Yarrowia lipolytica: one gene and its partners. The protein of the gene in region 2 interacts with the protein of the main gene of each other region in a pairwise test. Links are inferred from orthologs where the notes say so. Each region holds a gene or a part of one and is shown on either strand. Other genes may lie near its edges. The genes, in order: YALI1_E34028g, YALI1_C28963g and YALI1_E18854g.

The links.
Region 1: the proteins of YALI1_C28963g (region 2) and YALI1_E34028g interact in a two-hybrid assay, tested with the Saccharomyces cerevisiae proteins (2 studies listed by BioGRID, with this or other methods). The link is inferred for Yarrowia lipolytica from reciprocal best matches to the Saccharomyces cerevisiae genes MPH1 and RIM1.
Region 3: the proteins of YALI1_C28963g (region 2) and YALI1_E18854g interact in a two-hybrid assay, tested with the Saccharomyces cerevisiae proteins (2 studies listed by BioGRID). The link is inferred for Yarrowia lipolytica from reciprocal best matches to the Saccharomyces cerevisiae genes MPH1 and RFA1.

Annotation. Positions count from the first base shown.
Region 1 is NC_090774.1:3,398,175-3,407,443, forward strand, and holds YALI1_E34028g (uncharacterized protein), read right to left. Parts: upstream 5,023-9,269; coding exon 4,692-5,022; intron 4,636-4,691; coding exon 4,586-4,635; downstream 1-4,585. Other genes in the region: YALI1_E33943g (uncharacterized protein), read left to right, coding at 1-1,198; YALI1_E34015g (uncharacterized protein), read left to right, coding at 3,352-4,317; YALI1_E34042g (uncharacterized protein), read left to right, coding at 6,069-7,646; YALI1_E34072g (uncharacterized protein), read left to right, coding at 9,017-9,269. UniProt on the Saccharomyces cerevisiae protein: This protein binds preferentially and cooperatively to single-stranded DNA (ssDNS). Involved in mitochondrial DNA replication. Stimulates PIF1 helicase activity.
Region 2 is NC_090772.1:2,891,674-2,903,650, forward strand, and holds YALI1_C28963g (uncharacterized protein), read left to right. Parts: upstream 1-4,651; coding exon 4,652-4,785; intron 4,786-4,830; coding exon 4,831-7,468; downstream 7,469-11,977. Other genes in the region: YALI1_C28997g (uncharacterized protein), read left to right, coding at 8,069-9,142; YALI1_C29021g (uncharacterized protein), read left to right, coding at 10,433-11,587; YALI1_C29052g (uncharacterized protein), read right to left, coding at 11,876-11,977. UniProt on the Saccharomyces cerevisiae protein: ATP-dependent DNA helicase involved in DNA damage repair by homologous recombination and in genome maintenance. Capable of unwinding D-loops. Plays a role in limiting crossover recombinants during mitotic DNA double-strand break (DSB) repair.
Region 3 is NC_090774.1:1,879,590-1,890,584, forward strand, and holds YALI1_E18854g (uncharacterized protein), read left to right. Parts: upstream 1-5,809; coding exon 5,810-7,579; downstream 7,580-10,995. Other genes in the region: YALI1_E18802g (uncharacterized protein), read right to left, coding at 1-676, 735-761; YALI1_E18843g (uncharacterized protein), read right to left, coding at 1,102-4,764; YALI1_E18895g (uncharacterized protein), read right to left, coding at 7,728-9,905; YALI1_E18903g (uncharacterized protein), read right to left, coding at 10,277-10,717. UniProt on the Saccharomyces cerevisiae protein: As part of the replication protein A (RPA/RP-A), a single-stranded DNA-binding heterotrimeric complex, may play an essential role in DNA replication, recombination and repair.

The DNA of each region.
Region 1 (9,269 bases), on a different chromosome or scaffold from region 2:
TGCTCAGATGCATCCTCCTCCTCGCAGCTATCCCATGCCTCAAGAGGCTCTCTGGATGACTATGTCAATTGAGGCAGGAACTTATGTGGATCCCATCGATGTGACTTACATTGCCGTCAAGTCGATGCTTCTCAAGAAGACTCACGAGCCGTTGTGGAGTCATGTTGTTGAGCTGAAGGACGTGAATCTCACTGGCTTATCTCAAGACATGATCCTCCAGAAAATTATGTTGGCTACAACTTCAGGGCACTTGGCAGGACAGCTACTGGAGTTCATACGTGACAACCTTGACTTCTTTGACAAGGAGTCGAAGCTTCTTATTCAGAAACTGGTGTCTTATCTAAAGGGTAATGATAACACTGCTGGAGCTCCCCAGCTTCAATGGTTCCTGAACCCTGCCAATTTTGAACTTCAAGCTGACTCGTCGCAATTGGCCCAGTACTCGAGTTTGTTAAAACGTTCAAGACATGAGAGTGAGATCAAGAACTATTTGCTCGGCACGTTGTCCATTTCTCTCATTCTCGACGGAGGGCAGGTCTTCTATGAGGCCGTCAAGGGCATTGGTATGGCCACAACTCATCCGATTCATGCTAAAGCCTTGATGCAGATGTTTGAGTCCTTGGTTTACTCCAAGAAGCATGCTACAGTGCTATTTCTGCCGCTATTCTTACGCCTCATGGTCACCATGGGCAATGAAGAGCTATGGATCCAACTTTGGAGCCATGCCTACGTCAGGGTCAAGACAATCAGACTGGACCACCTGTCGAGTCTAGAGAACGCTTACCTTGCTGAATTTCTTCATCTCACCTCTCTCATCCCTTCGGAAGATTCGACTTCGGTGCTCTTGGACATCTTAGGAGTACCTCACTCAGCAACTAGCATCTCATCCGCACTAACACGGCAAATGGACAGAGACGTAGACGCCACTCTAGAAAAGTTTCATGAGAACAGTGGCAAATGGACTCGAGGAGTGGGAAACTCCACTGATAAAATTTCTCTGCATTTTATTACGGCAGACAACATGGCCAGTCCTTATGACTCTGTCATCCAGTGCCTTGCCAGCACTATCATGTATCACCCTGTGCTTCTACCTCGGCTCAATTTCCTCGCTTCTCAAAATCCCTGGATTGGGCGGTACTTGGAGCAGCATTATTTTCAGGGTTGCCAGGTGACTACTCTCGACGATGTCTTCTTCTAATGAGATCTCAGCTATACTAGCTAATGCATTATTTATTATTTGAATATTTTAAACGTAGATGATGACATCTTGTGCTTTGCTCTATTAGTACATTTGCTCATGGTATATTTTTCATCTCATTGTGGTGAACTTGGATGGATTTATTTATTTTCTACAAAGGAGGTCTAGCCGACTGTGTTGAACGCCGATTTCTCAGCTCCAGCTTCCAGTCAGAAGCTATCACATTCTCTCAGGCTCGTGCATGTGTTTTTTCGTTGCGTTACAGCGTGAATCTCTTTCTTGATCGATATGGGCTCCTGCGATAACACGTCATTTGCCTGCCCGAACGACTCAGAGTGAACTGGTCTGACTTTGATGAGGAGTCTATACATATCATCATGCCGAGCCCATTTAAGTTCTAAAATATTATCAAGGGCTAAAAAACGCGCATGATATATGCGAGTGGCTCATCTACTTGGAGGTGCAGGGGGAAGGCTTACCACCGACAGACGAGGATACTCGGTAACAGATGTTGTGGGGAATTAGTTGAAACGTTGGAAAGTTAACAGTATTGTTAATAGTAACGATATAGGGTCTCTCCACAACCCTCTAGTGACATCTTTGAGCACATACAAGCCATCGCTACCGGCCTTAACTCTTGCATATATCTCGAACTTTATGCGCCAGCGTAGCTACTTGTAGGGAAAAATCTACGGAGAATACTGAGGCATAATATATGGTAATGGTGTGGCTTCAAGCTATTTTCCAGATAACTGCTCCGGTGATACATTGGTAATCAACTCTTGTATCGGTAATAGATCTTTAGCCTTCAGAATGTATGGAGTTGGCTCATTTTTGTGTCCTCATGCGAATCGGATGCCATGCTACTTACCGGTACAAGTACATACTGTACCTGTAGGTAACTGGGCTGAAATGGATGGCCCATTCGTGAATCTTCACGATCAAAGAATGAGTTCACCAATCTTTGTTGCAGAATTAAGCTTGACGTTCAATGCTTATCGGAGACCAGTCAGTGTCATCTGATCCGAAAATCACACCTTGGAGTTCCTCATCTGAGACAGGAATAATCAACACAGGTTAGGGACGGAGCGTCAGCAGAGAGAAACAGCGGCAAAAGATACGAGAAACCCTGAAGGAAAAAAATTGCAGTACCCAGGATTCTCGTATGGCAATATTAACGGACTCTCTGGTGCTTTACTATGGTTGATCAAACGGGGAGCCATTATTTCTTTTTAATTCATGAACATGCATTATGTTACGAGCATGGATCATTAGAATAAAACATTAGAATAAAACATAAAAAATCAATTTATCAGTTACCCCTACAAGTAGATTAAAAAAAAAAAAAAAAAGTAGCTGAAATGTATAAAACATCCTTCTGCGTTACTGTCGTGTAGTAGCGTGTATTAGTCGGATTCTCCTGTGCTCTTCTCCTCAATTCCTCCTGTTTTCACCAGGATATATGGCAGCAACTGACGAATTTTGTTCATGGTGAAACATGTTGAGACCCAAATGTCACGTGACCGGATTTCCATCAGAAATCTTCAATGACTGAATGAATGGTGTCCACTTTGCAGCACACTCCGTTTAAACCACACCTTAGGCGATGAGGGGTTGGGCTCTGGTAAACTAGCAACTTGTAGCGCTACATACTGGGGCTGGGGGTTGCATAGTTTTGTGTTGATAAAGTGAGTATTTTTTATTCACACAGACAGCATCGCCTTTTATGTGGTTTTTTTACCCATTACACCACTAATATATCTGTCCCGCCGTCCGAAAAATCACATCGCCCTCTCTGGGCAACTCTAACTCGTTATCACGAAAGTGTCTGTGCCATCTTAATCTTCTTTTCATATATCATCTTCTTCTCATATATCACCACAAGATGCCGGTTACTTCCAACAGAGACCGGATATTCTATTTTGCGGCCGTCAGCACGGCGATGCTGAGTACCGGCAAGGTGCTCAATTTCTTGGTGATGGTCTTTCACCTGACCATATGGAGTACGACTTGATTTGTTTGATTGATACCCACTACCCTCCTCTAACACAGTATTGACAGTGCCCTGGCACCTCGTCAAGGTACGCATTCTGTACACATACGAACACAAACCAGGATTTTGCCAACGCTCACATTTCTCTGAGTACACAGGCATGTTGCTTGCTCGCTGGATGTTCAGCTTGGAGCAGACCACAGCAGGCCGTATCTTGTTTGGACGAACGGCGTGGATGTGGTTCTACAGGTTTCGCCGGTTCCGTTCGGGAGCAATCGACATGGGCGACGTGCGATTCGAAAACGACCCGATTATTCCAGGGCTGTGGGTGCGTTCTGAAGGACGAGTTCCAAACTACGACATTGTGCTCTTTTGGATGCATGGAGGTGGGATGGTCACACACTCACCTTACATGTATCTGGAGTTCATGACAGCGCTAGTCACATCATTACATATGCAGGGCTTCCGATCCCCTGCCATCTTTATGCTCAAGCACAGCTACGCCCCCGAGCACCCGTTCCCACATCAACTCGATGAGGCGGCAGTCGCGTGGAACTACCTCCAAAAGGAACACCCAGCGGCCAACTTTGTGTTTGCCGGTGACGGTAGTGGTGCGAACCTAGCTCTATCTCTATTACTGCATCTCACACGACCCTGTCTTGGTGTCACTGAGTGTTTGACGAACGTGAAACCACAGGCAGCTCTGCTATTGAGCCCGTGGCCCAACTGGAAAACTAGCATGCGTGAGGAGACAGAAAACTGCTACTTTTCAGCATTCCATTTGCGCAGGTATAGAAACTACTACATTGCTCGAGCCAAGGAGACGTCGCCATACTTTGACCTCTCGTGTGTCACATCTCTGTCATGGTGGAAAGAGTCCTTCCCTGAAAAGGGTATGTATCTCATTTATGGCACAGAGGAGATGTTCGCCAACGAGATAGAAGAGCTTTATGGGGTCCTTCGGCTATGTGGACCCATCAAGATTGATGGGGAGCTGCGTCAGATTCACTGCTGGCCCATCACAACGCACTTCCTTGCCCGAGACGAGTATGTCCGCGGCGCAGGAGTGTTCGCGATAGCCTTGAATCTCGGAAAGATGTTAATTTGGGGTAATGATGTGAAGTGAGAAGGAGACATGTGAGGTATCATTTCTACACCCACAATAATCCATTATAGAAACCTGTATAATTGCGTGTTTATTTTAGGATGCGCTGTACCGCGGTATGATTCATCTTCAGCAGTCCTTGTTACTGTACTACAGTATACTCAAGTATCTCGGTGGAACTCCCACATAATACCCAGTCACGCCAATGGAATGTTTCAGTACGCATTCTACAAGCCTCTTTGTGTCGTTACAATAAGCGCTGCAAGCAGCTGGTACAATATTAATACATCTACTCAACGGTCTCGTCTCGCTTCTTGCCGGAGATGACGTCGATGGAGGCTGTGTTAGTCAATTGCTTCGGATGCACCATTTGTAACGGATTCTGTGATACTTACTCTGAGTGACGCTAAGGTAGGGGTACTTTCCATCTCCCATCTCGGAGTTGGGGGGGTACTGGTAGGTAGCGTTTCCAGTGACCATGACGGGGGTTCCGGTCTTGAGAACGCTGAGGAATTGGGCGGCTCGATCCTCAAAAGAGGTGACGGAGATGAAAGAAGCGGGTCGATCCTCTCGGAAGTCGTTGATAGCAACGGTGTATTTGATGTAGGGGTTGCCAGCAGCGGAGGTCAGGGTCTCGGGGGCCTTCGCGATACGGCCATGGAGAGTGACCTTGAAGGCGTCTCGGGCAGCAGCAGAGGTGGTGAATTTTCGAGTGAATCGGAACATTGTGTTGTGTAGGGAAGACGGTGGTGTGGTGCGTGTTTAGGAATTATAGTATAGATGTGTGGGACTTCGGACGTGTTTACCCTAACCCTGGCGACGAGGTACAACAACGTGCCTCAAATGAGTGCGACGAGAATTCAAGGAAAAACTTGCTGCATTGCTGCAGAGACGTAAAATATATATTCAGGAGGGCAGAGTGGGTTTGTGTAGCTGAAGTTTCTGGTTGATTCTAATACAATTATTCTGTACTCTACATCTATATGAACAACAAGTATTGGAGGTGGCTGTCTATCAGCTTCGAAAACAGACTTCCAAAGACCTTTAATATCGCCCGTTCGGGAAAGGTTTGTCTGAAAAGGTTCGGGTCGGGCAGACACACGGGAACTTTAGTTTGGCGTTGAAAAGAAGACGGCGAATGGGTGGCGTTGTAAATCGTTCCGAGGGGTGTCACATTGGAGATGGCCCAATGGATACGATGATTGAGAGGATGGGCGTAAAGCGTGTAGCTTCAAATTTAACATTATGAAAGCTTTCAAGATGTGGATACGAGTGGTACGAGAACAAGTGTACTAATATTGGTGCATACTACAAGTCTAGCAGGTGTACGATAGTAAACCATCTCGTAGGTGGAGTATACCATCTCGAAGGTGGTCTGTATAGTGTAAAAATACTGTACACGATACTGAGAGACACATATCTACACTACAATACCAGCCTTCTCGTAAATATGTAAAGCATGTCCAAGTAAGCTTCTTAGAATGTGAATGCATGACTACTTCGTAGTTACAGTAGATCCTTGTGACTTTTAATAGAATGTATATGCAGAAAAAATAGCCTCATTAGCTCTCTAAAAAGTGCTACAAAGAGAAATTGCCAACACTTCTGGCTGACCTATCAATCGAGTCCATATTATTCATACATCCTGCTTCACATCTGCTACTTGACTTTGGGCAAAGTCGAACCCACGCACTCGGCTTATCACCTCGGCTGCATATGATTCACCATACCCCGCATAACCCATCTCTCCATCCCACTGCACACGACACAACATGTGGGAGTACCAAAATGCAGCTATTCGACTAGATATTCTGTCGGCAGGCTCCTCGTGGAAACAGGACCCCGAGGGCAAGAAAGTTCTCAGAAATCATGGCTCTTCAGCCATCCATCTGTGGAACAAAAACAAGCCCGAACAGGAGCTGATTCTGTGTTCCAGTTGTGACCTTGCCAACTTGAGTGATGATAAGGGAGAATATGGACTCAAGGCTCATGCTAGACTACTTGTTGCGTCTGAGGGAGGACTCAAATCGGAGCACCTCGAATGGGTACGCGGTGAATTACAGGCCGTCGTGCCTCTGGCCGATGTGAACCAGGTGCTACAACAGTACACAAGTGGCGGGTTCAACTTCAAGCCCACTGCGGAGGATTCCAAGAGTATTGGAACAAGATGGGAGGGGTCCAAGGCCGAGCTTCCGTCGGTTATTGTGATTAAGCCCCTTGGAAAGTTGCCTAGACGGGGCAAGAAGTGTGAACAACTCGCCACCGCGGACATTTCAAAGGTGCACTTGGAAGTGCAGTGCTCGCCATTTGTGTTGGTCAATCCGGCGGTGTTCATGGCTTACACTGTGCGAGGTAACGCCTCTTACTTGGGATACACAGCCAACTTTGGACGTCCTCAGACCAAGGCGTCGGTGATTTTCAGCGATATCCGGTTTCTCGAAGGTATGGAGGGTGGCGTTGTGACGGATACGCATGGAAAACTAATCGGCATGGTTGTAGGATGCCTGTCAAAGGCTGGAGGAGAAGGTACATTGACTGTGATTGTGCCCTGGCAGGAACTGATGGACACCCTAGAGAAGAAGGACGACAAATACAAGCTGAGAATGTCAAAGACTGTCTCGGTTGAGTCACCAATGACCCCCGCTTCTTTCAACGGGGTCTGCGCCATTACTGTATCTCTAGCTGGAGGTAGGAGAGGCTGGGGTTCAGGTGTATTGATCAACAGAACGACAGTGGTCACCAATCAGCATGTCCCGGGAGATGATTATCAGTCTGTGACGGTATGGTTTGATAAGACCCATAACTCTGAAGCTTTCGTTGACCAAGCTCCTCTTCCTGGTGTGGACCTGGTGTTCTTGACTCTACGAACCCCAGCTCCGCCTATTTTCTTCCCTTCTAGACTCAGCAAGACCCCTGCATACCGTGGCCAGCCGGTCGAGTCGTATGGATTCGGTCTCATGTACCCCACTGCCCCTCTCCGGCCCATTCAGCCCTTGTATTCTCGAGGTCATATCGCTTCAGCAGTGAAGATGTCCCTGGAAGGAAAACCAAGCAAAGACAACGCTATGCTCTGTAGCACAGCTCACTGCTGGAATGGTTCTTCAGGTGGTGGGGTCTTCGACTCGAGAACTGGAGAACTCGTTGGTATTATGGCAAGCAATGGAAAGGTTGACAATGGAGTGATCGTGCCAGACATGGCATTTGTCATTCCTGCATGTGGAGTCATCGATAAGGCTCTCCAATTGAAACAGAAGGGGAAACAGGGTAAGGTGGCGGACAGAGTGAAGGATCTCTGGGCTCTGAGAGAGACCCATGAGAGTTTGTTCAACCCTGCGAAGCCAAAGCTTTAGAGCTTCTGATTTCTGTTGTATAGTATGCACTGTACTTGTAATGTGAACATGATCTAACTATTATTATTTGATCCAGCTGCAGAGAGCTGGTTGTCTAACTACTGGTACATCGCTTGTACATCGTCCTTCCACATTGTACCGGTACAAGTACATATCGTACAGTATGTACATACAAGTACAAGTTCAAGTACATACTGTACCGGGGCGTGTAGGGTATGGGTGTTAATGAGTGGAACTGGTTGAGGAAAAGTCGTTAGTGACCATCCATGCATTGAGTCCATAGAACCCTTATGTCTACAGTTACACTGATACCTGTCAAGAACGACAGTGTGCCTCGAAACAAACTCGATGCGCGTTCTCCTCTTTGACTGGGACCTGCTTTATCGTAACACCACACATATCATAGCACTTACAGTACAGTACATACTGTAGCCCCACTCCAATGTTACAGTAACCTCGTTTAAACACGCAGCAGTGATGTGAGAAGAAATGTGAGTGCAAAAATGAGCTCCCTCTTGATAAGGAGACAAAAAAGTGGACGACACCGGAATCGAACCGGGGACCTCGCGCATGCTAAGCGCATGTGATAACCAACTACACCAGACGCCCTGGAAGTTGCGTTTGGAAAAAACATGGCCAAGGTACCGTGAGACACTTAACCCTAACCCTGATTCACTACCACGAGACCACGACAAGGACAAGAATAAGATGAAGCGACGACGAACCAACTGGCACGTGCCTCGCAACGCACATCGAAACGATTACTAAGTGTATGATTTATTGAACGCCAATAACCCGGCTTACTACTTATAGGTATATAGCTGTAATGAATCATTAGAATTAAAAAAAAAAAAAAAAAAAAAAAAAAACACAATTCCCAAAGTGGATTTTTGGGCGATAAGGTGATATGTGAATTAAAAACGTGCGTGTGCTAAACTGGAGCAAGTTTTTAGATGTGCCTACTTGTAGGTGTCTTTACTACTTACTGTACAGTATGTATTAAATTGGTATCAATGAGGGGTCTGGAACCATGAGTCATGCCATAAGTATGAGGTTGACGTATGTTTCTGTGTGGGGTACGTTGTACCCGTACATGGCAGGTGAGTGTCTGCGTGGAACTGGTCATTTTGGAGATTTTCTGATATGAAAAATACAAGCTTCTGATTGGTCGCCCATATGGCCTACACAAATGCCACGCGTGCCCGTGGCTCCCTTTAGTGTGGCTGACCACGTGCCTTCTTCTGATAAGTCCCACCCCGTCTTCCTACAACGGCACGTGACATTTCGTTACCTTATCATGCATGCATATAGACCCAACCCCCACCCAATAATAAAGAGACCCGATTGGCGTGTCAACTTTCTTCCCGTCCATGCTTCTTCGTCGAGTTGTCCACAACACATCCTCCATCAGGTTCTATTCTTCCATGACTCTCCAGCCACTTCCCAAGCCCGCACGATTCGCTCAGACTCCTAAGGACGTGTGGTCTCTCATCAACGAGGCTGCTGCTGCTTCCGAAGAGGCTTCCGGAAAGAAGGTGGTCAACCTTGGCCAGGGCTTTTTTTCCTACTCGCCTCCTCAGTTTGCCATTGATGCTGCTAAGAAGGCTCTTGATGTACCTGCGC
Region 2 (11,977 bases):
GAAATGTTGTCAAGGGTTTGGCCCCTTTTTTACATTTTCAGAGCCAATTCGTATCCGTCTAGTTCCGTCGAGGTTCATTCAAGGCGTGATTTACAGCCTCTTTCTTCTGAAAGAAAAACACTAGTCAAACGGGGTTCCCATGTTCTGATTCTTGAAAAGATGGCCTAACCTGAGAGAATGGCATAGGGACAGTGTTAGTCGGTGTCCCGTCTGTAAGAAGTCTCTGTTGTGCTTACGCACATCTATATACAGTATGTACAATACAATATTAACATCCACACGAAGTAGCCGTTCCTTAAACATCCATGTCAACATAATTCTGACTGGTTTTCACCACCTACGCTAGCCTCTTATGCTCAGAACCGACCCATTCTCAGCTTTCTTCTTGGTTCTGGGGAAATACATCTCAGTTACTTTTTCAAGACCTATAAACAATGCTAAATCCACATCGGACTCGGATTCTAATTTTCAGAAAAGCATAGAGCAATTGTGCTCGCGGTTTCCGCGATTCTTCTTTTAGAACGGATATAAAGTGAATTTTTCACCTTCACGTGACATATTAGTTCCAGTATATACATCCAACACCCAAAGTTGACAGTTGCGGCCATATCCTGGTGAAAATACGGCTTCCCGTCCGATCAGCCATAGTCAAGCACCAGAGAGCCTAGTTAGTATTGTAGTGGGAGACCATACGAGAATCCTAGGTGCTGCAATTCTTTTTCTCGTCACACCAAGCGGTTGATATCCCTTTTTGCCACCTCGGACCGCCTACAGTATGTTCATGTATTTTCTCCACATTTAAGGTTCTCAATCTTTCGTCTCTCTGAGGCCGCAAACACATTTACATAACCGTCCTCTCTATCGTTTGATTGTTTATCCTAGCATCATTTTCTCAGTAAATTTGCTGGCTTTGGGGCTAGTCTTTTTCTCGGGGTAACATGCAATGCAACATTCTGTCGTTGCACGTTTTCTTTCAAATATTTTGATTTAAGGTTGTCGTATTTTTAAGCTCGACCAAAACGCAAAATCGACTGGAAATTTTAGAGAAGGACATATTCATTGTTCCCCCGAGAAATTTTGATGTTGCATAATACAATATTCAGATTCACTGGCCATTTATATGTGATTCTACGTATTTTTGGTCCAGTTTACAATCTTTCCATCAATCTGGACAAACATCCATCCTCCATTCCCTTCCACACATTCTTTGTCATGCAGGTTCTGGGCTGGCTCTAATTTTTCATGCATATATATTGCATATGTCATGCATCGTATATGCATATTTTCAACACCAGCCATTTCTTTTGGACTATATTGGGCGTGGTCAAGAATATAAACCCCCTCCAGTCCCTCACTTTTCCATCAGAATCAGTCCAGTTCATTCTGTGTCATTCTGAAAACGGAAGTTGCCCTTTATAGCCTGCTGAGACGCGGAGCTGTGTCTACAAGACAGCTAATAGAGATCTGTCCACAACGAGGACATTTTCATTGTTTGTCGTCCGTTTGAGTTGTGACTGGGCAATGTGGTGAGATTACAGAATCCCAAATGTCGGTTAAGAAGGCAATGACGCTTAATCGCATGAGCCTAGTGCGTGCGACAGCTTCTGGTTGGGCGTTTAAGCTGAGAAGTCAGCGAGTTCGACACAGAGGCCAGTACATACATCTGCCTAAGCCAAGTGTCTTCAAGTCCGTGACCTTCGTGTCCGGTTGACCGCCATGGGCTGAAAACGAGTGATTGTGCCGGCTGAAAAGTGTCAGAGCAATTCGTGCCTTGTGAGAGTTCCTGAGGACCGCATGAGCTGCCGCCGGAGCATTGAGCCAGAGCCATTAAGCCCGCGCCACCGACAGTGAGATACTCAAGGGTGAAATTCCATTTGAGAGACTCCCATCATTCTCACAGGTGAAACTCGTGTTCGAGATACTCCATACTCACAGGGTGAAATTCCTTTGTGAAGGTCTCATATGGTGCAATTCCTGCGTGAGAGAGCCGCCTAGAACGAATAGCCAAGCTGAAAATCCAGAGCTGCCAGCGCTGAGGAGCAAGCTGGAACGCTGAGCTGAAACACATTGCTAGAGCAAATATCTGCTTTGACAGACGCCATATATGGTCAAAAGCGCAAGAGATGTCTGGGTCAGATCCATAAGTCCCACGATAAGTCCGAAGTCCAGAGCTGAAAGCCAGAGTCGTAGCGAATGCCAGAGCCGCCGAAGTGCAAGCCACTAAGAAGCAATGAGAGCATTTACCAGATCCACAGAGCCAGGGTAAATCCGGTATAGCGGAGACAAGAACACCCAGCCGGTGAGTCAAGGCAGTAAGAGCCATATGCAGTTTTGAGCTAACACCAACCCACTAGTCCTGAACGGCAGCAAGAGCAGAGTCCAAAGAGCAATAAGAGCGCTATTCTCCTGAGAAAAAGCCTATGAGACAACAGATAAGTGCCACATGCCGGAACAGACGAGAGCTAAGGAGCCAGGGCCAAAGAGCCGAGGCCAGCCAGGAGTCACACAAAGGAATAGGCAGTGAACCTCTCTCAGCCAGAGGATGTAGCCGACCGAACCTGATCTATTTATTTAGTTTTTCAGAGGAATAAGTGAAAATCCGAACCTCTTGGGTTCGTCATGGACCTCAGAGTCCCACCCGCATATTTGACTCGTAGTGTTGTATTTCAGTTGTAGATGCTGTAGATGATGCTGTAGTACAGCAGTGGTGATAGAGAAGGAAGAGTTAGCCGTCATTACACTCAGGATACTGACTATTACTTGTTGGTTTAAGTGAGTTTTAGTGAGTCTAGTGAGTTGCGTGGTTCCCCATTTCCCAATGATTTCGCCTGTCAGTTCCAGTGACTAATTAGAATGTGAAGTTGTCTTCAAAATGAAGTGAGGGAGACCCCAAATCGGCTTCTCAACGATTTATGGGACTTGGTCAATGTGTTGGTGGTATACCATAGATGTTGCCATGCGTTGCCATACGTTGACGGGTTCTAAGTGATTGGAGAATATTGTCAATTGTTGGTCTTCATGATCGGTCGAACTGCTCCAAAGGGAAGCTCATCAAGTCTGGTGCAGTTACACTCTCCCCTCCTTAAGAGACGTCCACGTCCTTCATGGATCATACGAGTCACGGGTCATAATTCAACCCATAATCCACATAACCAATCCCAGTGATACGAACTCCAACCATTCGAGTTCAACCGCTCACGGCAATATCTCAAACATCATGGAAGTCGAATCCAACATTTCATTGGTCTTACTTAGCGCTCGTCGCTTGGCCACTCATAGAATCCACATATCTTTCACTTGATTCTCATCTTTCCCAAGATCTCAATCAACGCCACAAACAGCATCATCAATACTGTGACACGTAATACTCGTTCACATTGTTCGTGTACTCTTCAGCATCATCTCTAGTCCCCAAAATCTCCAAAAATTTCAATCTGCTTTCCACCATCTGTTTGCTTCAAGCTTTCTGCAATCTCCGCTTTCCACTGTTTGCTTCAGGTTTTCAGCAATATCTGATCAGCCAATCGTTCACACTCTGCATCTTACTCTTTGCGTCCGCTTCAGTGATCACTCCGTAACTGTCTCCGTCGAATGCACTTTCGCTTTGTCGCTATCTCTATCCAAGGCTGCTAGTCTCAATACTGCGCTCCTGGCTCTGCTAATCTCAAGCTTCAATAATAAGCTGTTATCGGGCTCCCTGTGGGATCACCCCTCTGTCGTAAGTATTCTGGCGCGAGATTGTCTCCTCAGCGCCCTCGTCAAATACCACTTGTCTCGGCGTTACTCAGTACTTGCTTCTTCGAATCACGTCCAGTACATCCAGGCTTTCACAGATCTCCTCCTCAGTGGATCGTGATCTCACTCACCAACTTTCGTCGCCTCATTGCTCAAGCCGAACTCTTCATGCTCAGTTCCACAGATTCATCGTCCTGGCTCCATTATCTCCTCCGAGGGTTCCCAGTTATCATTAGCATTCCAACTGATCACCAGTGTACTCGCTTCCATTCTCTTCGCAAGTCCACAGCGTCGACCCATCCGTGTACCTCCTAACGTCGGTCCACTTCAGTGTCTCCTAGCAAGCCTCTCTCCACTCTTCTCGTGAAGGCTCGCAGATGCTTCTTTCCGAGCTCACTCGTTTCCTCGTTCGCTCATCCATAATCATCACGGTCGTTGGCAAGCCTCTTCGTGGCTTCCAATGGAGGCAGTTCTAAAGAAGTATGGCTAACTTATCTGACCCCTGAATTGGGTCCGATTTGAACCGCGATTTTGCTTCTCGCATTGTTAGATGCGAATACCAGAATGAATGTGAAACATGATTGTAGAGCTCTTCAAGTGCCATCATCGTGTCTGTTGATATGCCCTCACTGTTTGGGCTGCCCAATATGAATCCACTCATGCACTGTCGGTGATGGACTCAGACATAGTTTGAAGAGTGAGAAGTGCGTCCATTCAAATCACTGAACAAGTAATTGTACAGTAGATTCGTAAAACGCAATCTCCACCTCCAAATACCGCCCACCGATACTTGTAGTTACCATGCTGTTCTTGTACAAGAATCAACACGTACCTGAAGGCCAAACTTTAAGCAGGGGTGTTAATTACGAGTACGCGTTTCGCGGCGACAGTGGCAAAATCAACACTCACCAAACATATGCTGCTGGATGACCTGAGCGACAGCGAATTCGATGCGCTGCCCAAGAACAAGGCTCCAGCACTCCTGGACGACTCGGATCTCGACGATCTCGACGATCTCGACGATTTCGACTTCTCCACAGTGGTAAAAGAGTGAGTGTTCGAAACGCTTTTCAGAACGATTCAATACTAACCCAGACCAGCGAAACCAGTGACAAAGGAACAAACAGCTGTTCACAAGCCATCAACTGCTCAACAACAACCAACACCGGCTCGACAACAGCCGCTGGGACAGCAACCGCCGCGACAGCAACCTTCTGGACCACAACGAACTCAGCTACCCAGGTACAATGCTGATCCGGCAGAATCTACAAATACACCAGACATTGATCTGAACCTGACATACCCTCGACCAATGGACACAGCCTGTCACCATGAGACGACGGGTCTCACCGGATCTTTTCTGTACCCCTCAAATCTGCCGTTCCGAACTTACCAGCATACCATCATTCAATCTTGTCTGATTGAGAATACTCTCTGCTCTCTTCCCACCGGTCTAGGTAAGACCTTCATTGCGTCTGTGGTCATGCTCAACTTTTACCGATGGTTTAAAGATGCAAAGATCATTTTCATGGCGCCAACAAAGCCCCTCGTTTCACAGCAAATCGATGCCTGTCTTCGAATCACTGGTATCCCGAGGCACGACTGCAGTGTGCTGATGGGAGGAGTTAAACAGGCTGATAGAGCACATGAGTGGGCTAACAAACGTGTGTTTTTCGCCACTCCTCAGGTTGTGGAGCTCGATCTCGATGGTGAGATCTTGGACCCAAAGACGGTTTCCTTGTTGGTTGTCGACGAGGCACATCACACCAGTGGCAAATACTCGTACGGAATAGTGGTCAAGAAGCTGCTGGATGCACACCAAAGCTTCCGTGTTCTTGGCCTCACAGCCACTCCAGCTTCCAAGGTTGAAGGGGTGCAGTCTGTCGTGCAACATCTTCTAATTAGTCACTTGGAAGTCAAGGGAGAACAGGATCCAGATGTGCAGCAGTACATGCACAATCGAGAAGAGGTCAAGATCAACGTCGATCTGGGAAGCGATATTAATGAGTTGTTGGCTCTGACTGGGCAGGTACTCAAACCTACCTTGTCTATGATGGCCTCGAAGGGGGTGCTGCATAACACAGACATTGCAAAAATCTCACTGTTTGGCGTCAAGAAGGAGATAGAACGGTACATGTTTCGAACCAAATATCTCGGACCTGCTGCCCAGTACAAGTACCGAGGTATTGGAGCTGTAGTAGCCTCCATAGCCCATGCTACCCAGCTGTTGCAACACCAGGGAATCACGCAGTTCTACGACACCCTGAAGCGACGACACGACGAGGAAATGGCTCGAAAACAGCCTACAAAGTCATACGAACAGGTAGGGGATATTGGCTCAATTTTAGATGCCACCAAGACGATCATGAAAAAAGAAGGATACCTGGCTCATCCTAAGTTGAACTATCTCGGATCGGAGTTGAACGAGTTTTTCAGCAAGGCTCCCGAGGGAGCTAACACAGGTACATGCATCATTTTCGCGCGCTTCAGAAGTACTGTGAATGTGATCATGGAGTATCTGACCAAATTCCCACAGGTCAAGCCACATGAGTTCATTGGCCAGGCTCCTTCACGTGAAGAGGGAGGTGGACGGGGAATGACCCAAAAGAAACAACAAGAGGTTATTTCCAAGTTCCGAAAGGGCGTCTACAATACTCTGGTGGCTACTTCCATCGCTGAAGAAGGTCTCGATATCGGACAGGTTGATCTCATCATCTGCTACGACTCCAACGCTTCACCTATTACGTCTCTGCAGCGGATGGGACGAACAGGACGTTCCCGAGACGGTCGGGTAGTGCTTCTGATGACCGATAAGGAGATGGAGAACAATATCAAGTCGCGTGATAACTACAGCTACATTCAGCGTTTGATGGAAAAGGGGTCTCGTGTAAAGCTTTACCCTCCGAATCGTGTAATTCCCGGTGCCGCTACCGATCCTCCTCCTCCCCATTTCATGAAGCAAGTTATCTTACCAGGTGAGAACCAGGAGATTCTAGACAAAACCGACAAGGATCATCTGGAGCTCGCGGATGTGGTCGCCAAAGGTGACAAGGAGCTGCGTCTGAGGAAAGACAAGAACGGCCACTTCATTGTGCCTCAGAAGAGGAAGAAGAAGGTGTTGAAGATGCCAGAGAATGCGACTTTGGGGTTCATGACCGCTAAGGAGATGGCCATGAGAAGCAGCCAGTCCAGTAATGGTCAGAGCAGCCAAGACATACCTAACAGCCCTACCCCACCTACGAAGCGTACCAAAGTCGATGTTGATGAACTCGAAGCAGATCTCGATGAGGCCTTGGGCAACCGGTCTCATGATAGCCTGGCAGAAGACATTGAGGAGGAGCTAGAGCAGGAAGAGGTTCCTCAACATTTGCATGACTTGGTGGAATTGGACGATGAACGGGAGCAAGATATGAGCCTGGAAGAGTTCATCGGTGATGATGATTTCGATAAGGAGCTGGAGGATGTTCTGAACAGTAGTAAGTCTGGAGGAGGCCAGTCGATTAGTGAGGGTACACAGGGGACTACCAATGAGGTACAGACGACTACAGGTTCAGTACAGACCCAGGCGGTACCTGTGGAACAGAGACAGTCTCAACCATCTTCTGGAATACCACTGGCACCTGTCAAAATGACACCTGCACCACAACTGGCGGAATCTATCGACTCGTCGTCGTTTGACGATGAATTCTTCGATAGATTGGACGAAGCTCTGGCCAAGCCTGGAGACAAGTAATGATAGAGACGAAAGCACAAGTATGTATATACACGAATATTTATTGGTCATACTTGGTATTGTATCACACGACATTTTTGTAAGGAGGCGTTCAATTCTTCTTGCATGACAATAGACTCGAAAGACGGCGATCTTCGGGTCTTCCAACTCTAAGACGATGAGGGTATTCCAACGCAGCCATGGGGAGGTGACTCGCCATATCTGTAGAACATGTAAAACATATATTGAGGTATTATAAGAGCACACTAGATTTCCCCCTTTGGGGGGTCGTTAGCACATTTCTATGCAAGGTTACCTTCTGCTCCTCGACTGGTCTCATCGGCCATGCATATCTGCTGCCCAGAGCTTTCTGATTACGCACGGTTTCAGAAAAATATCGCCGCAATGTCGCTCAGATGACGCATGGATTGAGAGATAAAGCTCTGTTTTGGACAGTGTCGAATTCTGTTTTCCGGAAGCCATGCACAAGTTGTCTCAGAGACTGAAATTTTTGACTCCCATTTTTTAGATTTAGACTTGATCAAACTTCAATCAACTGTTTCGGACCCCCCAAACGTCGCCTGGAAACTCAGACCACACTCGACGACAAACCCCTCCCATATGGAATGGAGCGAAGCGATAAAGGACAGCGTGGACCGCATTCTGGAGACCGGTGAACACGAGGGAAAGCACGCCCCAAAAGACAGCTCCTTGGACCGCGCGTCCAAGACGACCCTCGAGTCGGAAATCATCGGAGGCCGTGGGGGTAAATCGCAGGCCATCCGCATGGTGGAGAAAACGGAAACGTGCAACAATGGGACGGTGAACATCGAGCTCAAGGTCCACGACACCTTTCCCGACGTGACGGGCCAGCCCAGTGAGATCACGCAGCGATATCACCAAGAAACGACCAAGGCCACTGTGGAACCCGACGGACAGGTGGCCAAGGTGACAGTACACCACAAAGAGGATACCGGGGAGCTGACCAATTCCCTGGTCGAAAAGGAATCACTATCGCGGACCCACAACCATCACAAGCTCGAAGAAAACGTAGCTGACTACAACGAGCAGCTCCATGCCACAGAGGTGGATCTATATCAGAAGGACCAGACCCGGGGGGAGGCCCAGAAGGTCTTTTCCACAGGCTACGAGGTTATTTCCCAGGAGAGGACTGTATGGGATCACTCTAGATCTCGGTCGAGAAGTGGTGAAAGGATCAAGCCTAAACCCATCATCTGCGCAGAGGACCCTGATGTGGCCGAAAAGCTCGCCGTCGTCCAAGACGACGAAACGGTACAGCCGGCTGTGATGATTGAGACTACCAGCTACGTCACAAATGCCGAGATGGCTCAGGTTGCACATCTCCATGGCACTCCGAGCGAAAAGATTGTCAAGCCTGACGACACAAAGAACATCTGGAGGGTGGTTTTTGCAGATGACAAGTCGGCGTCTTTGTTCCTCTATGCCATGCAGAAAGAGCTGTTTCGCCATCCAGGGTTTCTCGGCGTTTACCGTGATCATGCAGAGGCGTTGAATACCGATGGGCTGTCTAAGCGGGGTCGCAGTCGGGAGAGACGCCGTGACGACTACATTGACGGGGTTCGGTCTCGCAGCCGGTCTCGCAGTTCCGAAGATAAAAGAACCTGTGTGAAGCGGGTGAATTGGACCAACCAGTTAGAATCGATCCATAAATAATTTATACACTCCCTAATGACGACTCTGGTTATAACTGAGGTATTCGTAGTCGGGACTCGTTCTTGTGGCCTGTACTACAACTGTACTTGTAAACATGACAGGGAGATGCATAAATGGATACATGAAGCTAGAAAATTAGGTTCCTCGGGCTTTTGTTCCTTGTGCATTTAACGTTGTGGCAAAAATTGGCGAGATTCGCTTAAGTGTAGAAGCGAAAGGAGACAGATGTGACACCCGGTTGTTTCGACTGCTTCTCGGACGAAAACGGGACACGAATGATAGGAGATGGCGAGTCGCAAGAGATAGCAGTCGATGCTATACATGGTCTTTCATAGTTGAAGTCTTCGGTAATCCTTTCCCGGGAGTACGTTGCAAACGCACAACCGGTACACACAGTAGGGTTCAGTCGCGCGGTGTGGGTCCTCAAAAACTTCAACAGCAAAGAAAACGGGACAAGAAGGACCGAGTCCCCACCCGGATGTTCGGGGTGTGTCACGTCGGGAGATGATATGATGCTTAGGGGCTATTCTACTAGACGTGACATCGCACTAACAGTCACTAGTGTCAACTTTGTTTGGCCCAGTTGGTTCAGCCAAACACGGTATACCCCACGGCTTTTGAATGTTTCTTTTTCTCTCTGCTCAGCGCTGATGGCCAAGATCTACATAGACAACGGCGTCATATGCGAGTTTCCGCGGTGTCTTCCTTTCTCGCCTCTCTCATTTGTGCGAATGCATGGTTCAGCAAACGGGCGCTACTTGTAGTGACTTTTTTCTGCAGGGTCAAGCGAGTTAGCGAGCGAGGTGACAGGCATGAGCACAAAGAAAAGTAGCAAACAAGACAGCTGTCTATGTTAGATGCCGCTGTCACGGCTCATAAACATCTCGCTAAAAATGACGATATTACTCGTTTATCTCGCCAAGGAATGCTAACCTTCGTTCCTCGTATAGCTTTAGAGCCGCTCTATTTAACTCTGTCGGCCATTCGGGGGAGCGACGGTCACATCTTTGTCTGGCCTCGGTCAGTGCCACAGGGGTTTCAAGCCCTGGTTTATGCAGCGGCATGCATCTCAAGCTTGTATAATAGCCGACAAGACAATGGATACATACATCGAGTGTCTGTCAGGTCACTGCAAACAACCCAGTCCTTTCCAACTCCCTACCATCATCTTCACCAACCCACATTCGATAATTATTAGTCTCCTTTGGACCTTGGACCCCTGGTTCCTCTTCATCTAACCATCAACCCCCATCCAGACGGCACATATCCAGCTCCTCCAGTCCCACGCCAATGCTAGCACTTTTCCGCCCCAAACGAGTGCTGGAAGACGACAGTGACGACGAATTCGAGACCGTTGGAGAGGAGATTGTCGGCCCTACAGGCCACGTCCTGCGAACGCAGAAGCCGCGTCTGCGACGAACCTCGATGGCCCGGCTCATCGGCGTAGATCTCACAGATCTCGAACTGCTCAACTTCTTTTACCACCACTCCATAGTCGACATTCTCTCGGCAAACGACGCACGAGACAAAATTTGGATCCAAACTACCCCCTCCAGAGTCGGATGCAACCCCACCATCAAAAAGGCATGTTTGTTATTGGCAGCCATGGACCTGGCTCAAAGAAGAGCACCCGCCAAGTACCTCGTTGACGACGAGCCACACCCGACCAGCAAACCGCTGGAGTCCAAAAAGCTCATAACTGGCTACGTTCCGCCCAGTGAAGAGTTCCAGGCGCGCTCTTTGGTCATGTTCACGGCCCTGTTGAAGGGCTTTCACAAAAACCTGGAAAACATGCAACTAGGCGACATGTCCAACTATGGAGACATGATGCTAAGTGGAACCCTACTCTACATCACCGCTCTAGCAATGGGGCCTCTAGTTCCCCTCATCAACTACATTCCTGGCCAGGGGGATCTCATTGGCCTGTCTAGAAGCATCCGGGCAGTCCACGAAACTATCACCGGACTCAGCTTGACCAACGAGGGAGAAAGTCCCTATCCCATTCTGGACATCCCGGAACGGCAATATCTGCCTCGAGAACGGGACTTGTGGGAAACAATAGAAATGGCCGAAACCCGAGAAGAACGCCTGATCATGCACAAGGCCCTACACACTCTCATTAAGTTCTACAACATGGACATTAAGGGAGGCTGCATCACACACATGACCTCGTGGCCCATATACTGGCCATACTCTTTCCGAGAGCTGCAACAGGAGAGGAACCCCTTTGCCCTCATCATGCTCTGCTACTGGTGCGCATATGTGCATTCTTTCCACGGCTTTTCGTGGTGGAGAGACCGGGCTGTCGAAGACCTGTACACAATTGTGGATGAGCTGCCACTGGAATACCACTACCTGGTGGAATGGCCTCTCCAGGTGGTTCAGTCTTTCGATATGGACGCCGAGGACTATCTAACGGGGAGAATACAAATCCTCTCCTTTTAACAACCGCATAATCAAGTATCACGGCGCGATACAACAGTACATACTAACAAAGACATAAGGATAATGGAATTGGCATTATAGGAGTACAGTACCAACTAATGGTGGATTATAGATACCACATCAATCTCACGGGTTTGTCCAATCTCACTTCGAGTACAAGTAGCTTCAATAATGTCAACCAGCTACAGGAAGTTCATACATTGTAGTCCCATATACGGCACACACCCCACCCACGTTCATACTCCATACAGTCTATTTTATTTTATATCCAATCGTCGCGTCCAATAATTACATGGGGAATCCCTGGCCTCGGCCTCCGCCGCCCATGCTGGGGGGCATGGCGCCGGCCTGAGGAGGCGCGTTTTCCTCGTTCTTGACGGTCTCGTCCAC
Region 3 (10,995 bases), on a different chromosome or scaffold from region 2:
GTGGGGTCCAGCATAGTAGCGCCTGGAGCATGCTGATCTGCGACCATTCGGAACACTCCCCAAGCACGGTAGCAATCTTGGACGCGTGGTTGTGATCGAGTGTGAGCTGCAAATCACTAGACTTTTCGGTGATGTCCATCAGGGCAGCCAGTGCTGAGGCCACCACAGTGGGGTTTCCATCGTTCAGCAGCTTGTTGAGCAGTGCGATCAAGTCAGAGTGCTCAACAATCTTGGTGTCATGGGACCACATTTTAGCCACGGCCAGACACGCAGTCTTGCGAACATAGGGGTCCTCATCAAACAACAGTCGCTTGGTAGGCTCCACTCCCTCCCTGATGAAGTCCTCCAGAGGAATAGAGGAAAGTGTTTTGAGGGCCAGGGCCCGAATCAAGGGCGACTCCCGGGATCCAGCATCGTCCAGAAGAGGGTCCAGCGCTCCCGTGGCCAGCTCAGGTTTAGCCTTGCAGTATGTGATGAGATAGAGGAAACACATCTTCTTCACGTCCAGATCGTTGGACGATCGGATCATGTCGATAATGTCCTCGAATAAGACAATCATCTCATTGTTGCTCATGGTCATGTTGGCCACGATCTTCTTCAGCACCGCCTTCTTCTTTCCGACATTTTTCGGACCTTTGGCTGCCTGCAGCTCCGTTCTCAATTCCGCAGCTTTTCCCTGAGTTAGCATAACCTCCAAGACGCGCCCGCAAAGCGCGACCACCCCAAATACTCACCTTGGTGAAGAATTTCAAGTCACTCATCTTGTCGTGTACAAGAACAATTTACGTGTTCCGACTGTTAGTGCATATGCAATATCGCGCAGCCCATTATGTAAGGGGGGAGACCATGCAAAGCTAATATGGCGATGCTGAGATGGGTACCGGAATTCGGCCTGAATTATTGCTAAATACTGGAAAATATATCAAAAAATCGAATTAAACTACAAACGACTGATGAAGCAGATTCGGACGTGCTCAGATTATGCCAGATCATGCCATGACACGTCACCTCACTCTACAGTTTTGTAGGTATCCGAATAACACCAATAATATATATATAATTCATCAATAAAAACTCATTCCAATCCAATCCTACATCAGCCTAAGTATCGGGATACGATCTCAAATCCATAGTAAGAATCTTGGACGAGTTCACCTCCTGATCTCGGTAGATACCAACTAAACACTCTCCATGAGTATACAGACCCCGCTTGAGAGAAATCACAATGAACTGACACTTGCTGCCAGCATGCTTCCGAATGTAGTTGGCGACTCGTTGCACGTTGGCATTATCCAGAGCAGCATCAATCTCATCAAGCACAAAGAAGGGCGACGGGTGGAAAGAGTGGATGGAGAAAAGTAGGGCCAAAGCAGCCATAGTCTTCTCTCCTCCAGAGAGAAGCTCCATTTCTCGAAATCGTTTCATGGGGGGCATGGCGTGGTACTTGATTCCCTCAAGGTAAGGCTCATGCTCATCTTCGACAGTCAGAGTAGCCGAACCTCCCAGAGGAAACGCATCAGAACGAGTGAGCTCCTTGTACGTAGCGTCAATGACTCCGGAAATGTGCTCGAAGGCAGCATTGAACTTATCGCATCGAGCGTCTCGCACCTCTCTGAATTGGGCCTGCAGCTCCTGGAGTGCCTCACGTTCTCTCTTGGACTCAGCTTCGATGCTAGCACCCTCGGCCTCCACTTGCTCGAGTCGAGACACGGCCTTCAGGTTGGGGTTGATTCGCTCCAGTTCAGCCTGCAGAGCCTTGATCTTGGAAACAAGAGTAGAATCGTCGGCAAGTCTTCGAATGCCCTGGGGAAGCGACGAGAAGTCAACCTCAATATCGATATCCATTTGCGAGTCGTCTCCCTCAACCAGAGGCACAGACTCGAGATCACCTGACACCAGAGGAAGCTCAATGCCCTCAATCTTGCACTCTCGCAGAACCTCGTACCGCTGAGTAGCAGCAGTCTCAAGCTCGGTCTCAGACTGGGCAAGCTTTCGTCGCAGGTTATCGACCACGCCCTGAGCTCGGGAAAGATGCTCCTTGGCAGCGTTGGACTCAGTTGACGCGTTCTGAACGGCAGCTGTGAGCTTCTGAACCTGCTTTGCCTCAGCTCGAGCCTTTTCTTCCAGAATACCAATGTCCTCTCTCAGCTGGGCCTCATCGGCCTCCCAGCCATCCACAGCTGCCTTGTCATCATCGATAGACTGTCGAATCTTGGCCAGTCGCCCCTTGCACTCGTCCACACGCTTGGAGCCAAACTTGAGCTGTGACTCGAGAGTAGCAATCTGCTGAGAGAATGCGAGCCGCTTTCGCTCGGCACCAGCGGAGAGAGAGCCATGGGTCTGTTCATATGCAAACACGTCCTCAACAGTCACGCCGACACGAGTGCAATAAGACGAGAACACGGTGTACCAGACTTCGTCAAGGCGTTGTTGAATGGTGGCCTTCTGTGTCTCGAGCTTTTCGAGATCACTGGCGGTGCTGGCAATCTGCTTCTTGCTCTTGGCAGCCTCCTCGCTGTAGTACTTGAGCTGCGAATTGATATCCTTGAGACGGTCCTTCAGGCTGGCAACATGCTTCTGGGCAGCAGACACTTCCTGTCGCACCTTGTCAACCTCACGCTGCAGTGTATCCTGACGCTCGGGGTCAAACTTTTGCCGACCAACAGTCTGTAGCTCCAAAACCAGAGCATCCTTCTCTGCCTGGAGCTTTGTAACCTCAGACTCGTCCCATTTGGATGCTCGCTTGCCGCCATGGTGGCCCTTCTGGGTAGTACCACCAGTCATAAGACCAGCCTTGTGAATCACGGAGCCATCGGTGGTCACAGCCTTGACATTCAGGCTCCATCCAAGGCGTTTAGCCTCCTTAAGGTCGTCACACACAATGGCCGAGCCACAAACGTACTGGAAAGCCCGTTCGTACTGAGACGAAAAGGAAATGGCATCAATGGCAAGTACAGCCCCACGAAGACGCGACCGCAACGACGAGTTGACAGGCATGGCCTTGATAGTATCGAGGGGAATGAACGAGGCAAGACCGCCCTGCTGCTCCTTGAGGTATGCAATACAGTCCTGTGCAGTTTTGAAACTGTCCACAACAATGGAATCAATGTCCTTACCGAGAATGGTCTCCACAGCAAGATCGTGTCGCTTCTCCTTGGGCTTGCACAGGTCGTAGACGAGACCGTGGACCTTCTGTGCCGAGAAAACATGCTTCAGGTTGGCAACAGTCTCTTTAAGTCGTCGTTCTCGCTCAGTCTGTCGCTTGACCGCATTTAGCTCAATCAGACGGTTAGCCACAACACCCAGCTTGTCGCCAAGCTCCAGCTCGACACGTCGTCGGGTAGTCTGTTCGTCCACAACCCGAGCCAGAGACTCACTCTGAGTTCTCAGAGCAGACTGGTGGGTCTTGAGTACCTCCTCAGCTTCCTTCAGTTGGGTCTGGTAGACGCCAAACTCGCTTTTAAACTCCTTGACCTTGAGTTCCGAGTCCTCCTGTGCCTGCTCCAGAGCTCGCTTATGGTCCAGAACAGGTCTGAGTTTTCGCTTCACCGTCTCAATCTCAGCCTGCTCAGCCAGCGACCGCTTGTGCACCTCATTTTTCAGCGTGCTATACTCGGCCGCGTCCTCATCAGTTCGAATAACTCCGCCTGACTCCTTCTGCTTCGATGACAGATCTCGTTCAAACTCACTGGAGGCATCCTGAACCATCTTGAGAGAGCCTCGAGTCTGCTTGACTTCGTCCTGGTGTCGAAGTAAGTCAGCCTCGACAGTGCCGTACCGAGCCTCGTGACGCGAAATGTTGCCGGACACCACAGCAATACGTTCAGCCACAGGCACGAGCTGCTGCTTGTGCTCCAGAATGACGTCTGCTCGCTTCTTTGCCGAACGCTCCTGCTTGAGCAGCCGCTTCTTGTCGCTGGCATATTTGGCAGCCACGTTTTCCACCTCCTGAGCAGCCTCCTGAACAGCCCCCTCGGCGTTCTGGATAGCAGCGTCTCCACCTTCAATCTGGTCTCGGGCCTCATCTTCGATTTTTTGGGCCTGCCACAGTCTCCACAGCTGCTGCTTCACAACGGCCTCGTCTCGCTCTGCGGCCTTGGCGGTGTACGCGTCGTAACGGTCCTTGAGCTCAACGTAGTGCTTCTTCTCAGCGTTGTAGGTACGTCGTCGCTGCCAGGCTGCGTTGCTTCGCTCAGTCTGGACATCTAGCTCCTCCTTGAGACGGTCGTATTCGGGCTTGAGATCGATGGAGCCAGAGGTGATTTCAATCAGCTTGGACAAGTCTTGAGGCGACTGACTGGCAATCTGCTCCACATCTCCCTGGAAGACCAGGAAATTTCGGGCCTTGACCAGAATGTTTTCCTTCTTCATGGTGGCATTGTATTCGCCTGACGACGTGACCTTGTTGTTGATTCGGTACTCAGACGTGCCCGAGGGTGTGATGGTTCGCTTGAGCTTGAGTAGGTCTCCATTTGACTTTTCGTACTCCACCAGAACGTATGCCGACGTGGCTTCCTGAGACTGGGTCGAGCTGACTTCCTCGCCACGCATGATTCGGCCTCGGTAGATGAGGTCCTTGAGCTGGGTGGATCGGAGCTGCGAAGACCGCACTCCGAGCACAAACGAGATGGCGTCCATCATGTTGGACTTACCCGAACCGTTGGGGCCGATGATGGCCGAGAACGACGAGTCACCGAGATCCACACGGTGCGTATCACGGTACGACTTGAAGTTGCACAGCTCAATAGCCTTGAGGGTGCCCATAGTGTTGTGATGGTGTTGTGATGGTGTGTGGTGATGTTGTGTTGAAGTGTACGCGTGTTGGTGGTAGAATGACAATTTACATTTCACTCGCGTCCATCTAAACTTTATTTTGGAATAAAAATACAGTAAAAGAAATAAAAGAAAATAAAGAAATAAAAGAAATAAAAGAAATAAAAGAAATAAAAAAAATAAAAGAAAAAAAAAAAATAAAAGAAAAAAAAAGAAATACTTTGTAAATTACGAAGAAAACAAAAATATAACTCAAGTACAAGTACTTGCTGGTTTCTCGTTATAGACATTGCGAACCACACGCACGATAATTCAGAGCTCCACGCGAATTCAGCTCCACACGATTCAGAAGCTATCAAACCAAACCTCAACGGACTGGTACTATCTGTAGAACATCAATGATAACGACTGTTGTTGTCGTCAAAACTGGTTGCTCCGGTCGAGCTGCTGTGGATCGATACTGTCTGGACAAGACTATTACTACAAGCCTATACCACTGATCTTCAGTTGAAAACAACTCAATGCGGGGTGATGGCGAATACCGATTGGAATTGGGACAGGAAAATCAGTTATCTCCAAGCTCGAGGGGAAATATCGTATCTTTTTGTGTTTTTTTCAGACGTATTCAAGTCTCAATCTTCCAAATACTGTATGCATCGCTCGTCCAGTAGCCTGCCTAAAGTTTTTGATGCGAACGCGTAAACAATAAAAGATGCGCATGTATGATACTGTTTAGGGGGTAGTCTAGACGACGCTACCATGGACCTCGAAATGGTTGGACCAGTACAGAAATTGAAGGAAAAGAAGGAGCAGAGGCTCAGAATATGGCAGTAAAGAGGATATCCACTGACCCCCCCTCCATGTTCCTGTTTCTCTAAATTTTGCCACCGCCACTCCGCGACAAGGTTCGCTTCTTACCCTACTTAATTAAGAGTGTGCACGCCTGCGCGACGCGTTCTTTCCAAAATTCATCTGCTTGTTTTCTACGCTCCACAGCAACACACACACACATACACACAAGACCACAAGATACAAGATGACGTTTGAGCTATCGACCGGATTTTTCGACGCCGTGGAGAACGCCACCAGCCGAGATGAGCTGCCTGAAAAGTTTCGGGCTCCAATTCTCCAGATTGTGCGGCCCATGAGCGAGCTGCCCGGCAAGAACAGATTCAAGGTGACTCTGTTTGACGGAGAAAAGCCCGGCATGGTGTTCGGCGACCTGGACAACCTGCCCCAAGAACGACCGGGCAAATTCGACATTGTCAAGCTCAGCAACTTTGAGCTGGTCATGGCCAAACAGCGAGGAGTCGTCTACGTCCACCAGATGGACTTCTTGAGCCACGCCGACGCGGCTCTGGGACTCGATACCGAAGAGGATGCTGAGCTTCCTGGTGGCGCTGCTGCTACTGCTCCTGCTGCTGCCACCAGCAACCCCACCCCTGCCAAGCGAATGGCTTCTACCAACGAGATTCCTGCTGGTGTCCAGGCCCAGGGATTCCCCGCCACTGTGATGCCCATTGAGCGACTTTCGCCTTACCAGAACAAGTGGGCCATCAAGGTCCGAGTCACTTCCAAGGCCGACAAGAAGAAGTTCTCCAACACCAAGGGAGAGGGCCAGCTCTTCAATGTCACCTTTATCGACGAGACGGGCGAAATTCGAGCCACCGGCTTCAACCAGGAGGTGGATAAGTTCTACCCCATGCTGGAGGAGGGCCAGGTTTACTACGTGACTCAATGCCGAGTCTCCATGGCTAACAAGAAGTTCTCCAACGTGAACAATGACTACGAGCTGGTGTTTGGCCGAGACACGGTTATCATCCAGGCGGACGAGGCCGAGGCCGCTGCTATCCCCACAGCCAATTACTCGTTTGTGACTCTCGATAAGCTGCAGGATGTTGAAGTTGGCAACAATGTTGACGTTCTTGGTGTCGTCCAGAACGTTGGTCCCCTGGAAGACGGCGTGGCCAAGGCTACTGGCAACCCCTATAAGCGACGAAACCTCATGTTGGGAGACAAGAGTGGATTTGCCACCCGTCTGACTTTCTTTGGAGAGAAGGCCACTTCCTTCGACGAGGGAACTGTTCCTGTTGGCACCATTATCGCCATCAAGGGCGCCCGCGTTGGCGACTTTAACGGCCGAAACCTGTCCACCAGTCACAGCTCCACTATTGCCGTGGAACCAGCCATCGACGAGACCTACGCGCTCAAGGGATGGTATGCCTCTGAGGGTAAGCAGACGAGCTTTAAGCAGCTGCAGACAACTACCACCAACAAGCCTGTGGCCGCCACACCCATTGATGTCGCCACATCCAGCTACGGACAGTCAGAAAAGCCCGACTACTACACCCTACAGGCTTGGGTCGTGCACGTTCGAACCGGCAACTTTGCATACCCTGCTTGTCAGACTCCGGACTGTAACAAAAAGGTGGTCGAGCATGGTGACGAGTGGCGATGCGAAAAGTGTGAAAAGAACATGGATAAACCTCTTTACAGATACATCCTCTCCATCAACGTGGGAGATGCCACAGGAAGCATGTGGCTGACGGCATTCAACGAGCCTGCTGAAGTGATTATGGGCATGACCGCAGATCAATTGACCGAGATCCAGACTAGCCAAGGAGACGATGAGTTTGAGCAAGCTGTTCAGAAGGTCACCGGCAAACAGTACACTCTGCGATGCCGATCCAAGCAGGAGTTTTACAACGAAGAATCCAAGGCTCGTCACCAGGTTCTTACGGCGCAGGCGCTCGACTATCTCAAGGATATTGATGAGCTCATCAAGGACCTCGACCAATACATGTAATGGGGGATTGGTGTTACTAGTTGTTATGAATGATGGGGGTATATATAGTTTATGAAAGATTGTAATTTAGCGCAAGCAAGTAGTTCTGTCGTGAGTTCATCATTCATCATTATCTATAATCAGTTCTTGTGGCAAACACTGTCGTTGGCTACCTGTTAGTAATCCGCTTCCACACGTTCAACGCTACAGCATCCACAGCACCGAGATTAGGAGCTGCAACACTCTGCTGCACCTTGAACAGCTTGGTGTGGGTTCGGTTCCATACACCCACTGCAGCGGCACCCGTACTGTACCCTGTGCCCACAGTGTCAGCTAGGGAGGTCACTTGACGACCCACGCGAGCCTCATGGGTGTAGAGACTGGTCCAAATGAGAGATAGATACCAGCCAAGAAGCACTGGGTCCCACTGAAACTCAATCTTGTGGAACTTTGTGGGCTGCACAGGAGGATTGAGGGTGCCTATAGTGTCGATCATCGTGGAGGGTGTGTCTTTAGTGGTCTTGGGCTCGTCGCTAGCAGGGCTTGTGCTGGAGCTTGGTGGTGGTACTGCGGAGTATGTGTTCAACCCAGGGACAGAGGACTCAATCATGGCGTAGACCGTGTCAATGGTGTCGAGTGGAAGGTCTTCTAGCCATGACAAGTCCTCCTCACCATTTGTAGGCTCCTTTCCTTTCTCCTTCACGAGGCGATGCAGCTTTTCAAATGACGACCGTCGCTTCTGTAGAACAAAGACAAGCGACTTGTTGGCCTGAAAGTTGTATTCAAGCATGGCGTTGATGGACTCCAGGGTGAGCTCCAACAGGAAGCGGTTTGTGGAGTTGGCGAACAAGAAGGAGGGCGATGACAGAACGTCGAAAATGTCAACCAGCTGGCACGACACCGTGTAGTCGATATGCTTGGCCTGCACAGACAGGTTGTAGATGCATTCAACCAGAGTGGGGATGATGGGGTTGATTTCTTCACGAGGTTGAGTGATGACAGAGAAGAGCTGGCCAAGCACATAGTTGAAATTCACAGTGCCATCGTCGAACGAAGACACAACCACATCATCATCACTCAGATAGAGCAGGAAGTTACTGAGCAGCCTCAGAGTCTGCGTGCTCTCACACATTTTGATTTGTTGCAGAATCGATAGAATGATGTTGTCGAGGTACCCCTTCTTTAGAAGCCACGGCAAGAATCGCTTGTTGGTCTGAATGATCTCCCATAACAAACAGATAATCTCGTTGGTGCGTGTTTCCTTCTTGCCAGTCAAAATGGAGCCAGAGGAGGCCGAGAACTTGGCCAGAATCTCGCTAATGTGTCTTGCAATGAACTCAAAGTCCACATCCTGCTTGAGTTTGCCCAGAAAGTATCTGAAGTTGTTCTTCACGCCCGGCTCCGGGGGGTAGTAGACAACAAGCAGAAGCAACAGTTCCAGGGCCCAGAACGCCGTCTGAGAGCCCCCAAACACGACTGTTTGGAAGGCATTGGCATCGCGCAACAACCGCACCAGCGACAAGTTGAGCAGAGAGCACAGTAGCAACAGGGTGTCGCTCTTACCAAGCCCGCTGACAATGCACGTGAGAAACCGGGAGCCCTGCGTGGTAACATGGTTAACACTAGTGTACAGCTGTTTGCACGAGCAGCACACGAGTAACCTGAGAATCTCGCAGCGATTTCCCTCCTGCGCGCTGGTCACCCCTCCTTCCACGCTGTGACAACCCACTCCCATTTCCCAGATTTGCGAGGTGCCGCATAGCTTTTTATTGAACAAAAGCGACACGAGCTTTGTCACCAGCTTCTCGCCCAGAATGTCGTTGCTCCAGAAGAGATCGTCATCAAACGTCTTGGTGCCACTTTCAAACACAATTGGTAGCACCCTGGTGAGAACGCGAATGCAATTGAGCAGTTGCGGCTCGGGCGTTGTATCGTCGCAATTGATAATCTGTTGGCTCACGACTCGGACCAGAGTGGCTATATTGTCTGGAAAAGTCTGGAGCGCCGTTCGGACATCGTTCTCGCCCACCAGTGTGAAGATGTCGCTGGCGTTTTCCGGAACCATCCATAATTTGCTCCAGAAGATGGTATCTGATTCAGGAATGCTGGAATCCGTCGACAACCGGAAAATCTCGGTGCGAAACGTCTGTTTCGACTCGGTTTGGCCCATTGATGTGCAAGTCGGTATATTGAGGGTGGTCAGATGGCCTGAACCTAAATCTCGCGTACAGGGTGATAAGGGTAAGGGTTGGATTGTGAGATGCAGGCAAAAATAAATAAATTGTGATAACATAGCGTAGAAGTAGAAGCAGAAGTAGAAGTACTTGTACAAGTGCTCGTGATTCATAACGTGTACTTTGTTTAATATTTTCTAAATCAATTTTTAATACGTTAATAGTCGGATTTTTTTTTTTTTACATTTTCATAATTTTAATTCATTTTTAATTTACTTTTCCAAGCAGAGTTTTATTGAATTAATTCTGTTTCACGTTAGGTAGGTGTTTAAGTAAATTTAAAGTAGAAAAGTAAATAAATAAATAGATAAATAAATAAAAAGGAAAAAAATGAAAATAAAAAAACGTCCATGTCCAACCTCACCACCGACTCCATTCAAAAATCCAATGCTTAATTCATTATTTATGCTTGCTATGTACACTTTTACACGTTTAGACAGCCCAACCCATTACAGGTCGAGCATCCCTTCCACCATCACCACTTCTACCACCATCCCTTCTTGTTCTTTTCCTCTTCCTCCTTCTTGGCGATGGCAGCCAGCTCGTTCTTGATTCGCTCGTTTCGATCCTGGTCATTTCGAGCCTCGATCTCCTTCATCTTTTCTCGCACAGCCACATTGAAATCAATGGGCTTGGAAGCCATGGGCCCAACCTTCCAGATGGGCTCGTTGGTCTTGGACTGGGCAATGGCCTCCTTGACAAACTCGTTGAAATACTCCTGCCGAGCATCTCGCTCCAGCATGTATCGCTCTCGCAACTCGGGGTTCATTCGTCGCACAATATCTTCTTCGGAAGGAGTGGCATAGCGGTATCCCAGATATGCCGATCCGATGACGCCGACGGCAAACAGACCAAACTTGGGCCAGTTGGGCACGCCGGGCCGCGACCGGAACATTTCGACAATCGGCCAGTTTTCTAATCTCATGATTGTGTGTGTATGAGCGTGTGAGTGAGGTTATGACCAATGATGATGATGGTAATGTGGACAAGGTGATAAATCCTAATTAGACTACCTGTCCCACTCAGGTTATGAGTTAAGAGGAGGGATGACCAGTCTGGAATGGCTTAGAAAAAAGAAAGATTGGGGGTATTATAATATTCAAACTGGCAATTAGGTGCTAATTTGACGTTTCATCTAGCAGTCAAATACTCATAATCTGTGACACTGTCATAATCTGTCCCAACCACGTCCCAATTAAGGTC